Linked DNA regions of Oryctolagus cuniculus. The main gene of each other region encodes a partner of the protein of the gene in region 2 in a complex. Links are inferred from orthologs where the notes say so. Each region holds a gene or a part of one and is shown on either strand. Other genes may lie near its edges.

What was found. The genes of interacting proteins can lie anywhere in the genome.
Region 1: GATB (region 2) and GATC share a complex: the UniProt entries of both Homo sapiens proteins name them as parts of the heterotrimeric GatCAB amidotransferase (AdT) complex. The link is inferred for Oryctolagus cuniculus from reciprocal best matches to the Homo sapiens genes GATB and GATC.

Annotation. Positions count from the first base shown.
Region 1 is NC_091452.1:16,476,204-16,483,737, reverse strand, and holds the start of GATC (glutamyl-tRNA(Gln) amidotransferase subunit C, mitochondrial), read right to left. Parts: upstream 4,639-7,534; 5' UTR 4,600-4,638; coding exon 4,519-4,599; intron 4,441-4,518; coding exon 4,268-4,440; intron 1-4,267. Other genes in the region: TRIAP1 (TP53-regulated inhibitor of apoptosis 1), read left to right, coding at 4,707-4,853, 7,332-7,415. UniProt on the Homo sapiens protein: Allows the formation of correctly charged Gln-tRNA(Gln) through the transamidation of misacylated Glu-tRNA(Gln) in the mitochondria. The reaction takes place in the presence of glutamine and ATP through an activated gamma-phospho-Glu-tRNA(Gln).
Region 2 is NC_091439.1:12,867,340-12,874,104, reverse strand, and holds part of GATB (glutamyl-tRNA(Gln) amidotransferase subunit B, mitochondrial), read right to left. Parts: intron 6,455-6,765; coding exon 6,410-6,454; intron 4,501-6,409; coding exon 4,311-4,500; intron 1-4,310. UniProt on the Homo sapiens protein: Allows the formation of correctly charged Gln-tRNA(Gln) through the transamidation of misacylated Glu-tRNA(Gln) in the mitochondria. The reaction takes place in the presence of glutamine and ATP through an activated gamma-phospho-Glu-tRNA(Gln).

The DNA of each region.
Region 1 (7,534 bases), on a different chromosome or scaffold from region 2:
AAATCTTTAAAAACCCTGCCACTTTGAATGCCTACATGCCACTAATCTAGCTTACTATTAGCACCACACTCTAACCAACTGAGCTAACCAGCCAGCTCCGTTAGCTTACTATTAATACATCCCAAGAGTCAGCAAATGATGGCCCAAGTGCTTGGGTTCCTGTCACCCACATGGGAGACCTGGATGGAGTTCGGGGCTCTTGACTATGGCGCTTTAGGACATTTGGGGAGTGAACCAGCAGATGCAAGGTCAATTGATCTCTATCTCTGCCTTTCAAATAGATGAAAATAAATTCGCATTAAAAAAAGAAAAACTGAATGTGAATTACTAACACAAACTGGTTTTCTAATATACAGAAGGTGCAAATCACTGAATGCCAAGTTGAGATCCCAGCTAGTAGATCCAGATCCCTCATCTTTTTCACAAAATTCCCTTTGTATTTTTTTTTTAATTATTCATTTATTTAAAAGGCAGAGTTACAGAGAGGCAGAGAGAGAGAGAGAGAGACTTCTATCCACTGGTTCACTCCCTAAATGGCTGCAACTGGGTCGGTCTTTTGGGAGCCAGGAACTGTTTCTGGGTCTCCCATGCGAGTGCAAGGGCCTAAGCACTTGGGCCATCTTCTACTGCTTTCCCAGGCCACAGCAGAGAGCTAGATCAGAAGTAGAACAGCCAAGACTCAAACTGGTGCCCATACAGGATGCTGGCGCTCCAGGTGGTGGCTTTACCTGCTACATCAGTGTCAGCCCCTCCCTCTGTAATTTTTAAAAATTTACTCATTTGAAAGGCACAGTTAGAGATGTCTTCCATCTGCTGGTTGACTCCCCAAATGGCTGCAAACTCAGGTATGGGCCAAGCCGAAGCTAGGAGCTTCATCTGGGTTTCCCACCTGGGTGCAGGGACCCAAGGACTTGGGCCATCTTCCACTGCCCTCCCAAGCACATTAGCAGGAGCTGGATTGGCAGTGCAGCAGCTAGGACTCGAACCAGCACCCACCTGAGATGCTGATGTTGCAGGTGGCAGCTTAACCCACTAAGCACAACACTGGCCCCTGATTTTATTCTTTATAGTTACCCTCTAGGTGATGGAAGATTCTGACTCCTCTTCAGGCTTCTGTTCCTTCCTTTCCCAAAGATACTAATAAAGAACAGTCTTTCAGTAAATGTTTACTGAGTATCTATTTGGTGTTACACATTGCAAACATGAGCAGAAATAGACATGCTCCCAAGAACACAGATGAACAGGAGAGGAGCAGAGAAATCAGGTGTCACTCAAATAGATGTGTGAATAGGTGTATTGTACTTACTGAATACCATGAAGAGTCACATGTCCTGAAAGAACCTAATTCAGTACAATGAAGGGGCCAGCAATGTGGTACACCAGGTTAAGCCACCTGCGATGCTGGCATCCCATATCAGGAGCCCCAGTAGAGTCCTGGTTGCTGCCCTTCCCATCTAGTTAACTGCTAATGTACTTGTGAAGGCAGCAGGAAATGAACCAAGTGCTTGGGCCCTTGCTGTCCACGTGGGAGACTAGGATGGAGCTCCTGGCTTCCACCTGGCCCAGCCCTGGCCGTTGTGGCCATATTTGAGAAGTGAATCAGCAGATGGAAGATCTCTCTCTGTTCAAATCTTGAGAAAAAAAAAAAAAGACTTCTTAAGGAGGTGGCATTTGAAATTTGAAGTAGACAAAAAGAGGAGTGGTGGGAGTGAAGGCCAGGCCGGAATTCTAGGAAGGAGAGCGCATGAAGAACTGAAAGGCTAGGTTTGATGACTCCCTGCAGGCTCCACTGATGCTGTCTTCACCCTAAGGAGCAGTGTGAAACCTCCAGGACGCAGGCCACAGAATGAAAATCAGATTCCATTTTGAAGTGCAGTGTAATAGCAGATTCACTGCCCTGACCCGAGTGCCAGATTGCAAGGAAGAAGAAAGGTTGGAAGAAAGCGTGGCAGTTAGGAGCAAGACTCACACAAAGAATGTAGTCGCAGATCGTCTGGCTGGGCCTGTTCACTAGCCAAAGGCAGCGAATCTTCCTTGCGTCCACTTGCAGTTAGGACTGCTTTTGTCTATTATTTCTACCAAGAAAAGGCTAGGATAGTTGTCAACTGTCCCTATGATTATGAGCTATGTAGTAGTTGACTTTATAACAAATTACCAGAGACAGGCTGCTTTATAGACAAAGTTTATTTTGGTTTATGGGCCTGAGGTTCACAGTCCAGGATCAGGTGGGTCCCCAGTTCAGCAGCTATGTCTGTGTTGATCTGATTTGTCTGACCCTTTACAAGGCCACCAGGACTCCAGTCAGGGCTCCATCCTAATGATCTAACTTAATCACCCAGGGCCCCGCCACCCAGCACCATGATTGAGTTAAGTTTCTGCTCAGTTCTGTTAAGTGTTTGGGGACTAACATCCGGCCTGACTCTGGGGGAGGGAGCACAGCAAGTCACCCATCCTCCTGTCCAAGCAGCTGTAGCCCCCGACAGCAAATCAAGTGTGCTGCTGGGAAGCAGCTTTCCCCAGGAAGGCGCTTCCTTTCAAATTAAGATCTGGCAGCAGTTGGTAGAGGTGGGCGGAAACCGCTCCTGCTGTTCACAGCTGCTTTGTCAGCAAGTCACCTGTCCCCACTGCATGACACTGCGCTACTTCACTCACTGATACCGCTGCTCTCAGGCACATTATGTGTGGGGGCCGGCGCTGTGGTGTAGCAGGTAAAGCCACCGCCTGCAATGCTGGCATCCCATATGGGAGTCCTGGCTGCTGCACTTCCGATCCAACTCCCTGCTATTGTGCCTGGGAAAGCAGTAGAAGACAGCCCAAGTGCTTGAGCCCCTGCACCCGGAAGAGGCTCCTGCTCCTGGCTTCGGATCAGCCCAGCTCCGGCCATTGCAGCCATCTGGGGAGTGAACCAGGGAGTGAGTGAACCAGGCAGTGAGTGAACCCTCCCTCTCTCCCTCCCTCTCTCTCTGCCTCTGCTTCTCTGTAACTCTTTCAAGTAAATAAATATATCTTCAACAAAAACAAAGTTTCCTTAACATTCCCATGAATTAATCATTTTGTGAATTTCTTGCATTTGCTTCTGGGGAACACAACTTAATTATACACCAGCAGATGTAGACTACACATATGGTATGAACAGTGCTGATTTTTACACTTGATCTTAGCCAAAAGGCCAAGAAGCAATGTGTACTGGGTTTTTAAAAGGATTTATTATCTATTTCAAAGACAGATATTACTTATTTCAAAGAGACAGGGAGAGAGAGCTTCCATCCTCTGGTCCACTCCTCAAACAGCCACAACAGCCAGGGCTGGGCCAGGCTGCAGCCAGGAGCCTGGAACTCCCGTCTGGGTCTCCTACGTGGGTGGCAGGGGCTCAAGTACTTGGGCCACCTTCTGCTGCCTTCCCATGCACGCTAGCAGGCAGCTGGGACTGGAAGTGTCACAAGCAGCGGCTTCACCTGCTGCACCACCACAAGGGCCCCAAAGAGTACTGCTCTAATGCTGCCTTTAAAGAAAAAATAGGCATGTCTCAGAGACTTCTCCATGGCAGCGTATATGATGCTATTTGTAGGCTGATACGCGATACACACAAATAACATGTAGTTGTTTCGTTATTTTTAAACTGCTGAATATTCCATTGTGGAAGTGTGTATTTGCCATTTGTTTAGGTTGTTTCTGGGTCCTGTTTTTCGTGTTCTGAAAGGTTTGCCATGGGCTTGTGCCTGCGTCTTGCTGCACTTTCACAGATACTTCCTTAGGGAATCAGTACATCAGAAAATGCATAAAATCTCGAGACAGCAAGCAGCTCAGTGAACTCACACTGTAATAATAACGACAACAAATCAACGCAGGAAACCCCCAACGAGACAGAGTTGGTGACTGGAAGGGGAGAGGGGATTCGGAGTGCCAGGGGGCCACTCTGAGGAGATAAGCCGAGGTCAAAGAGCCAAGGAAGGAGGAGCCAGCCGTGCAAACTCCGGAAGGCAGAATGCACAAATGAGAGCCGACCCGGCCGGTCGCGGAAGCAGTCGGGGAAGCCAGCCTAGTGGCAGCACAGTGTGTGAGACCCCAGGGGGAGGTGCCTCCACGGCGAGGAGCGGCCGTTCGGATTTTGCTCCCGCTTACGTTGGGCGGGCGCGGGGATTGTAAGCGGGAGTGACAGCATGCATAATGAACACATGTCGCTGTGAAACGGGGGCTCCAGCCGCCACCTGCAGCGGCCTGCGGAGGTGCCTCCGTCCAGGCCGGGGGGCCGCAGCCGCGAGCTTACCTGTCCTCCAGGACCGACTCCATGGGCTCCACGCCGTCCGTGTCCACCTCGCGCAGCCGGTCGGCGAAGGCGATGGCTTTCTCCAGCCGCGCTACGGCCTCCTGACTGCCGAAGTCCACGAGCGCTAGACGCTCCAGGTGCTCGATCACCTCGGCCGTCACCCGGCCACTTCCCTGGGGAATGAATCGGGGAGGGTGGGTCACACGGACGCGGCCCGCTCCGCCACCCGCCTAGACGTCCCGGGCCTTTACCTGAGCATCCGCCTTGGCGGTGAAAGCCCGGAACCCACCCAGGGGAGCCCGAAGGCCCAGCCGTACTGCCCGCGCCCACATGTCTCCCCTTCCCGGCACCCGTAGTGCGCCACCCGTAAGGCCGAGCGACGCGCTTAAATGTGACGCCATCAGGGTGCGCCCCTGCCGCCTCCTTCGCAGCCATCGCCATGAACAGCGTTGGGGAGGCGTGTACAGACATGAAGCGCGAGTACGACCAGTGCTTCAATCGCTGGTTTGCTGAGAAGTTCCTCAAGGGGGACGGCTCTGGGGACCCGTGCACCGACCTCTTCAAGCGTTACCAGCAGTGCGTTCAGGTGAGCCGCCGACCCACGTCCCGTGCTCTCTGCCGTGGGCTCCGCCACATTGCTTACGTCTTGCCGTGGCTGGAACCGAGAGCGGGGATGAGGGCCGTAGTGAGGGCAGCGGCAGGAGCCCTCTCCCCGCCCATCAGCACCGAAGCCGCCTGGGTGCCTCGCTGAAAGGCCAAGTACATATTTTCGCAGTGTTTTGCTTTTTATAGAGCACAGTGACATCCTTTGGCTCGTTTGGTGCTTATTCCAAACTTACACAGTGGGCAGAGTTGTTCGTAATTTGTCCATGGCAAACGACACTCAGAATTAACGGGTTGGGCTGGAGCTGGGAACTCAGTGCAGGTCTCCCGGCTGGGACACAGGAACCCAATTACTTGAACCATCACCGCTGCCTCTAGGGTCTGCATTGGAGCAAAACGAACCCGGGCACCCAGATAATGGGACGCGGTCGTCTTAGCAGCTTAGCCGCTTAGCCAAAACCTGACCCTCAACCAATACTGAGAGCGGCTGACAGCTCAGAGGGTTAGTCTTTCTCCAGCTTTTAGGCACTATGGAAGATCCCATCGTTTTGTTGTTAAAATCAATCTTTCTTTCTTTCTTTCTTTCTTTCTTTCTTTCTTTCTTTCTTTCTTTCTTTCTTTTTATTTATTTATTTTGGACAGGCAAAGTTAGTGAGAGAGAGACAGAGAGAAAGGTCTGCCTTTTTCCGTTGTTTATTTTGGACAGGCAAAGTTAGTGAGAGAGAGACAGAGAGAAAGGTCTGCCTTTTTCCGTTGGTTCACCCCCCAAGTGGCCGCTGCATACCCGGCGCACCGCGCTGATCCGATGGCAGGAGCCAGGTGCTTCTCCCATGCGGGTGCAGGGCCCAAGCACCTGGGCCATCCTCCACTGCACTCCCGGGCCACAGCAGAGAGCTGGCCTGGAAGAGGAGCAACCGGGACAGAATCCAGCGCTCCAACCGGGACTAGAACCCCGGGGTGCTGGCGCCGCAAGGCGGAGGATTAGCCTAGTGAGCCGCGGCGCCGGCGTAAAATCCTTTTCTTGGCCTATGTCTGTCTCAAGCAGTCCTTAGCTGCGGCTATGAAATTTTCATGCAGGCTCAGTGGATGTGGAACTGCTCTGAGTTACAGTAGCACTGAGCCAGGCCTTCCCAAGAGGGTAACCGAAGTCAGCTTCACACTGACTGTGAGATGGTTGCTGTCTTTACCCGTTACTGACGAGGAAAGTGAGGTCGGCTCAAGGTCACAGCCAAGAAGTCCTGGCACCCATGTTTGTACCCATGTCTGTCACAAAGAAAAGGGGGAGACTTGTCATTCAGGTTTCATTTTTGAATTTTAATGGCTTCTCACAACTCCTCTTTTAATTTCTCTGGTTTTACACTTGGTTGCTTCATAATAGAACTTCTGTCTGTTTAAAAGTGATCTGGATAAACAATAATATAAATGTGTGGTTTGGGGCAGGTGTTGTGGTGCAGCAGGTTAAGCCACCGCTTGGGGCACCTTCATCCCATGGTGAAGTGCTGGCTGAGTCTGGGCTACCCACTTCAGATCCAGCGTCCTGCTTATGCAGCTGGGAATGCAGCAAATGATGGGCCAGTTACTGGGGTCCCTGCTACCCACCTGGGAGAGCTGGATGGAGCTCCTGGTTCGTGGCTTCAGCCTGGGCCAGCCCCAGCTGTTACAGGCATTTGGGAACCAGCAAATGGAAGATCTATCTCTGTGTGTCACATGCTATTCAAATAAATAAATAAATAAATGACCTGCAGCATGGTTGTGAATCCTGTTTATTTGGCAGAGAGAGGCACTCCATCTGTTTGCTGACTCCCTAAATGTCTGCAACCTAGCCAAAGCCAGGAAGTGGTAACTCATTCTCTTCTCCGGGTGGCAGGCGCCCAATTACCTGAGCCATCGTTGTTGCCTCCTGAGATCTACGTTAGCAGGAAGCTGGAGTCAGAATCTAGAAATTGGAGATGAGAATCAAACCCAGGTACCCAGTGTGGGATGTGGGGACTCGGGCATCTTAGCTGCCAGGCAAAATGCCCACCCCATGGCTGAGTCTGTATAGCATAGTTTGATTTTACTTTAAGATTTATTTTATTTATTTGAAAAGACAGTTACACAGAGAGGTAGAGACAGAGAGAGTCTTCCATCCACTGGTTCACTTCCCACAGCTGCAGTGGCTGGAGCTGAGCTGATAGAGCCAGGAGCTTCTTCCAGGTCTCCCACGTGGGTGCAGGGTCCCAGGGATCTGGGCCATCCTCCACTGCTTTGCCAGGCACATTAGCAGGGAGCTGGATCAGAAGTGGAGCAGCCAGGACTCGAACCGGCACTTATTTGGGATGCCAGCACTGCAGGCAGTGGCTTTACCTGCTATGCCACAGCACCAGCCCTTGATTATACTTTTGTACCATCACATCTTGTTTACAAAGTTTGGTCTTTGAGCATCGTGTAGACCTTATAATGTGTTTTCTCCCCTCACCAGAAAGCAATAAAGGAGAAGGAGATTCCTATTGAAGGACTGGAGTTCATGGGCCATAGCAAAGAAAAGCCTGAAAACTCTTCTTGACCTTGACAGACACCTTGCAGTTGTAGCCCCTCCAATCAGGAAACTGAGGACCCTGGATGAGTCCACTGAGATTGTGAAGATGACCATTGGATTTGATGTGGTGGTTAGTTTTCTTCCTC
Region 2 (6,765 bases):
CCAGGCCAGCTCTCTGCTCTGGCCTGGGAAGGCAGTGGAGGATGGCCCAAGTCCTTGGGCCCTGCACCCCATGGGAGACCAGGAGAAGCACCTGGCTCCTGGCTTCGGATCAGCACAGTACACTGGCCGCATCGGCCATTGTGGAGTGACCAACAGCAAAGGAAGATCTTTCTCTCTGTCTCTCTCACTGTCCACTCTGCCTGTCAAAAAAACAAACAAACAAACAAAAAAAACAAACAAAAAAAACATAGCTCAGGGTGGGCAAGTGGTACAGCAGTAGCACTGCTGCTCAGGATGCGGGGATCCTGAGCCCCAGTGGAGCGCAGCTCCTCTTCTGATCCAGCTCCTTACTACTGTGCCCCCGAGAGACGGCAGCTGACAGCTCAACTGCTTGACTCCCTGCTGCCAAGATGGGAGACCCAGACTGAGTTCTGGATCCTGGCTTTAACCTGCCCTAGCCCTGTATGTTGCAGCCATTTGGGGAGTGAACCAGTGGATAGAAGCTCGCTCTCCATCCATCTCGGTCTCTGTTTCAAATAAAAACAAAAATAAATAAAAATTTAAAACATACATAATCCAGTGGCTACTGAACAATAAAATGCCAAGATAAATTCCAGACTAGGGTTAAATTCTGAAGCTTCTCAGTATGTGTGTGTTAGGTGTGTGTGTGGGGGGGGGGGGCATGTGCATGATGCTTAATTTAATAAGCTTTCCTAAGGCTTGCAGCATGGAGCTGAAGCTCTGTGAAGCACACCTCCACCACTGCTATTTATTTAATGAATACTCCTGGGCACTCTTTAAATTGAAAGATGGTTCATTAGATTTGTGCATCTGCCCTTCTCAGCAATCTGTTGTGTTTCTGATGAAGGCAGGAAAAAACCACGACCATATCATTTTTGGTTGTGTTATGAGTAACTCAGCTTCCAATGATTACAAAGTCATAAAGGGCTCAGGCTGCCTCATTTCAGGAAAATAATTTGTCTGAGTCATTCTCTTGCCAGTCCTCTCTTGTCTTATTCTTATCCTGGACATGTCAAGTACTAGCCCCTTTGAAAAACAAAGCACTAATGAGCTAATACATTATCTGCAAGTGATAAAAATAAGGTTTATGAGGTATCAAAAGATAAGTCCTTTAAAAAAACAGCTAAGAAACAGCTTCCTTCTTGAAGCTTCCCCTTTTTGTCCCAACCGAGTTACTTACAACCTGCTCTGGGTTCCCATCGTACACTACGCATCTCTAGAATGACCTGCCGGGGGCTTGGTTACCTGTAGGGGCCTCTCCACATACAAGCGGTCTTTAAAAAGCTCATGGGAAAATGCATAGTATGAAAACACTATACATAGATTTCAAAATTATTTTGTACCAAAAGAACTTCTAACTTCATTTCTCCATGAACTTTTTGAAGGAGCTACACATAAACTCTTGAAAGACCAAAAAAAAAAAAAAAAAAAAAAAAAACACACCTTTTAAAGTATCTTTGTTCTTGTCTCTACCTGCTACTAAAGATGCTAACGAAAGTGGGTTTCCCTGAACAGGGCCTTTAACTGAGAAATCACACACTTACTCGTTCGCCACCCCTACCAAATGCTAACACAGGGTCTACCTCGGTGTGGCACCGTGAAGGAGCCAGGAATGAGGACGGACACAAACACAAATGTAAACATGTCCGCCCTCACACGTCAAGGCGGAATGCAACAACCCCGCACAGCTGCCCTCTGCAGCCTGGAGCAGAAACGGCTGTGCCAAGAGGTGAGTCTGAGGGTTCTCTGACTTCTCTTTTTTTTTTTTTTTTTTTAAATTTTTGACAGGCAGAGTGGACAGTGAGAGAGAGGGACAGAGAGAAAGGTCTTCCTTTGCCGTTGGTTCACCCTCCAATGGCCATTGCGGCCGGCGCGCTGCAGCCAGCGCACCACGCTGATCCGATGGCAGGAGCCAGGAGCCAGGTGCTTTTCCTGGTCTCCCATGGGGTGCAGGGCCCAAGCACCTGGGCCATCCTCCACTGCACTCCCTGGCCATAGCAGAGAGCTGGCCTGGAAGAGGGGCAACCGGGACAGAATCCGGCGCCCCGACCGGGACTAGAACCCGGTGTGCCGGCGCCGCTAGGCGGAGGATTAGTCTAGTGAGCCGCGGCACTGGCCTTCTCTGACTTCTCTTACGGATAAGGCCGATACGTGAAGCGAACCTTTAATGTTACATTCAGTGACTTCTCTAAAATCAGACTGGAGTAAAGAAACAGTCAAGAAACTCTGTTCATCACACACCACCCGAAGGGCTGGCCTTTGTCCAGGTGGCCACATGCCACCGAGAGGGTACCTGAGGTTTTTGAGGCTGAGCAGCCGGATCCATCACCTGTATAATCTGCCTGCAGGCTTGGTAATCAGCTCAAGTGGGCCGGATATCCAAGCAGTCTTGACAGGGGCTGGGGTGGGGGTGGGGTGGGGAGGAGATGTGTACGACCACAGTTCAGTCTGGGATATCAGCCTGGGGAAAACAGCTCACTGGAAGGAAGCTTCAGGCTCAGAAGTGCCCTGGACTGACTCGCAGAGCCAAGACGTGGCTGTCAGCACTGCTGCCGTGCTCGTCAGGGAGAATGGAACACAGAGGATGCCACAGCCCTTGCCCTCGCGATGTTCAACGATATTCACTGACAGATAATGACTGCACCGCGGATGCTGCGGCCACAGAGGTGTGGAGAAGGTGCAGCAGCAGCCCGCACCTGGCACCAGCACCTGGCCACACCTAACCATCACTGGAAAGCGGAGTTCTCACGTGAGCTCTCTGGATACGCACTTCTCCGAGCAGCTGCCTATGGAGGATGACGAGTAATCACTCCCGCAGCAAAGCGAATGCAATGGGACATCATGTAACATGAAATAAGCAAGACACAGATACACGGGTACGGCATGTCCTCTCCAGAGGTGGAGCTTAAAAAAAAAAGCCCATCTGAACTAGAAGAGTGATGACCAGGGACGCAGCAGGGTAGGGGAGAGAGCTGGGAGGAGGTTGGACAGTGGGTGCCAACTCAGTGAGACAGAAGTAACAAGTTCAAGTGCTCCACAGCGGGGGACAGGGGCACCCACAGCGCGCAAGGCTGTCTGGTGTTCTGTGGGAAGAACTGGAAGAGAGCACCTGGCAGGCTCCAAACACAAAGGCAAGATAAGGAGGCGGAAAGCCCAGTTGCCTGGTTTGATCAGCTATGATGCACAAGTTGAAATAATGCTCTGTACTCCATAAAAATGGACAAGTGCTACAGGGTAATCAAAATTTTTTTAAAAAGCTCAAAAATGGTTAAAAAAATCTGTCATTCAATACACATTTGGTTGCCTATTCTGTACCAGAAACTGCTAGGCTGCCGTTGTTAAAGCATATAAATAAAAATACAAGGGTATGTTAAAAAGTCCACGGAAAATGGTGTTAAGCTTATTTTGGTACAAAAAATATTTTAAAGTCCATGCATACAACAGGGACTTCAAAAAGTTCCTGGGAACTGTGTATTATGAAAAAGCTATGCAGGGATTTCCAATTTTTTTTTTTTTTGCACCAAAATAAACATCTCTTAATTCCATTTTCCGTGAAGCTTCTGCAGTCCCCTCGTGTTGGATTCCCGCGCTCCTACAGAGGTATTACTGGCCATTTAAAAAGCTCCCACAGAGCCTGCGGCTGCAGAAGGCAAGTGCGGCAGCCCCGAGAGGCAGAAGAGCAGCACTTTCCGCTTCCTCCCTCTCAGACAGGAGAAGACAACTGTGACAAAACGCTTCCCTCGCTGACGCCGCAGCACTCCACGCTGCCTGACAAAGAAAACCGCAAAGCCCCAAGCAGCTCTGAAGCGGATGGAAACTCCCCAAGCAGCGCTGAACGCTGTCTGGTTGTCTACCAGCTCCTTCAGACGCTTCGGCCAGCCTCCAAGGGCAGAGGCTCCCAGTCAGGGTTCTCAGCACTTGGTGCGGAATAAAAGTTTCCTCCCACGGGCGGCAAAACCACTGGCAGGTTTTGAGACCCCCGCCTCCCGCCCGCCCCTGCTGTGGTCCAACACTGAGGTTCTGTGGGGATCCTTGCCTCACAGCGTCTGTGCAGCTGCTGTGAGCGGCTGTTCATTTCCACGCCCAAGAAATCATGAATGCCAGATTCTGCTTCCTCTTCTGGTTTTACCAGGAGCACACCCGGCATAGGGGGTAGGGAGCAAGGGTTCCAACGCCCATTCTTCCCAGAGGCACCTGGAGTAGAGCCGCGGCGCCCTGCCCACTCCACTCCAGGCCACGGCGGCCCGCTGTCTGCCGAGCCGGGTTTGTTGGAGCCCATCAGTGCGTACCAGCAGAGTGAAGCTGTGCTCAGGCAGCATCCCGTACTGCTGAACCAGCCGCGCCCGCGTCTCGCTCGGGAGCTCGGGGAGCGTCTCCCGGATCCGGTCGATATCGATCACTTGCTGGGGGTCGGCGCCTGCAGGCAGAGACGTGGAGTCGTAGAGCAGCAGGGGAGGCAGGTTGGGTTCTGGCATAAACCTGGGCCGAGAGAGGAGATGGGGCCTGAAGCTGGAGTCCTTGGTTTCACGAGGGAAAAACCAATCTACCTGGAATCCGAATGCTTCCGTGCTTAGATGCCACGTTACTTTCTCATGTCCTGCAGGATCAATTCTGTCTCCCAGGACAGTCTCCACGCAAGTGTCCAAGCCGCCACACTGCCCCCTCCCTGCTTACATAATGATGAGTGGAACGAGCAGGACCTGGCACGGAAGCCACACTTCTGTTTACGACTGTGGGTGGAGGATATATTTGCAATGACCGGAAACAACAGAACCAAACAAGAACGCTGTACTTTGGAAAGAGAGCCCAGTCCTCCATTCTTAATTTCCACTGGCTCTTAGCAGTACTTGCGCAGTAAAAGAAAAGTTAAAAGGGGGGGGGGGCGGCAACTTTCCTTTTTGAAGAAGTGCAAGAAATGAATGGCTTTTGCCTCAGTGTGGAAGGTGGTGGGGCGGGAGGAGGGGTGCACAGGTGGAGCGCAGGGCTTTTTTTTAGGGCAGTGAACCGGCAGGTATGGCACCGTGCCGGTGGGTGCGGCGTTACAGCCATCACAGCCATGTCAGATCCCAGAGACTGGAGCCTGATGCACACTGTGGGCTTTAGTTAAGGAGCTAGTGCTGGTTCATCATTGTAGCAAACCACCTACCACTCTAACATACAACGTTAATAACAGAACCTGGGAGGGGCGGGGCGGAGAAGGGAGCATATGAGAATGCTCTGTACTTTGCGCTGAGTTTTGGTCAACCTGCAACTGCCCTTAAAAACACTGAATTGTTATACAATGTGGCCGCGTGGCCGCTAGACCACCGCATATAATCCTATGAAACAAAGATGTCCCCTCCCTCTGCTCCATTCCAGCGCTAGCGTTTTCTTTTTGCCCACATTTGACAAAGAACTTATGTAAATGCAGAATAATGCACAACGAATGGCAGCTGGAAGGTAATAGATCAGAGGTGTGAGCAATCCATCACCTCAATGCCGAGTCTCTGCTATGAATCAGCCTGCCTTCTGAAGGCAAGAGGGAGCCAGAGGGAGGCGTCCTGCAACTCACGTCCACGCACGGGCGGGGCTGCGCTGGAGCTTCTGGCTGAGTTCAAAGCCACACTCCACGCTCAGAGTGCAGCAGCGACAGGGAGGGAGCAGCCGTGAAAACCAAGGGGGTTCCGATCACAGGAATGGAAGTCGTCACTCTGACAGACGCAGGGCAGGAGTTCTTGGTGAACTTCACTCTAGGGACTTAAATGAGTCTCTTCTCTCCCAAAGCACAGTGCTCTGTTTGGTCCTCACTGACAGCAAGAGCTACGCATCTGCCTTCCTACACTTCATCAGGCAAAGTGGGTTCTACTCAACAACTGTGCTGCTTAAGAAACTTCGATCTTTGCAAACTGCTCAACTCAGTGGGAAAAAATAAAAGGCCCGATTTATCTGAGGCCTATCCTCGCTGGTGGCTGTAGCTGTGCCCCTCATAGTAAGCTTCGTTTATCAATGAAACAGCAGCTTTTGGGGTCTGAAAGGAACTACCACGGGCATTTCTGAGAACGTGTCTACTTTCAAGACAGCAGTGCATCTGTCATTGATTGTAAGTACAGCAGCCTCCAACCCAACCCCAACTGCCATTCTCTCAGCTCAACGCTAACAACTTTGACACGAAGAGTGAGCACGTGTTTTCCAACAGCTGCATGCCACCACACGAGGCACCCAGATGCCAGTTTATCAAGAAAATAGTTCTCTCAAGGACACAAAAAATAGAAAGCCTTCGCTTTCCATCCTGGAACAGCACCACCGCAAGCGGCCCCTGTCCAGGATCATTAAGTTGATCTCTAACCGGATGAGAAACACGCCCCTAACTCCACATATGTTGCGGCATTTTGACACGAGCAGCAATTACCTGTAGTCTTGTTTTCCTTCTTTGTCTCTCATTGGCACAGTGCACCTGCAACAGGGAAAGAAGATGTGAGACGCACACTGCACACAGCACTGACCTACCTAGATGCAGAGCAGGTTTCCCCTTCTAGTAAGGGACACGGGCAAACTCAAGTTCATCAGGCTTCCACAGGAGACACTTACGTGACTCCTTTTAAAAAGAGTAATAAAGGACAGAGAAATAAACAGAAATAAAAAAACAGAAATAAAGGACAGAGTGGTAATTAAAAAGAAAAGAAACTGCATCAGTGCTTTCAGGCTTCTAGCCACCTTTTCAAACTCTACACTTTTGAGTTTTTTTCAGTATTCTGCGTAGAATAT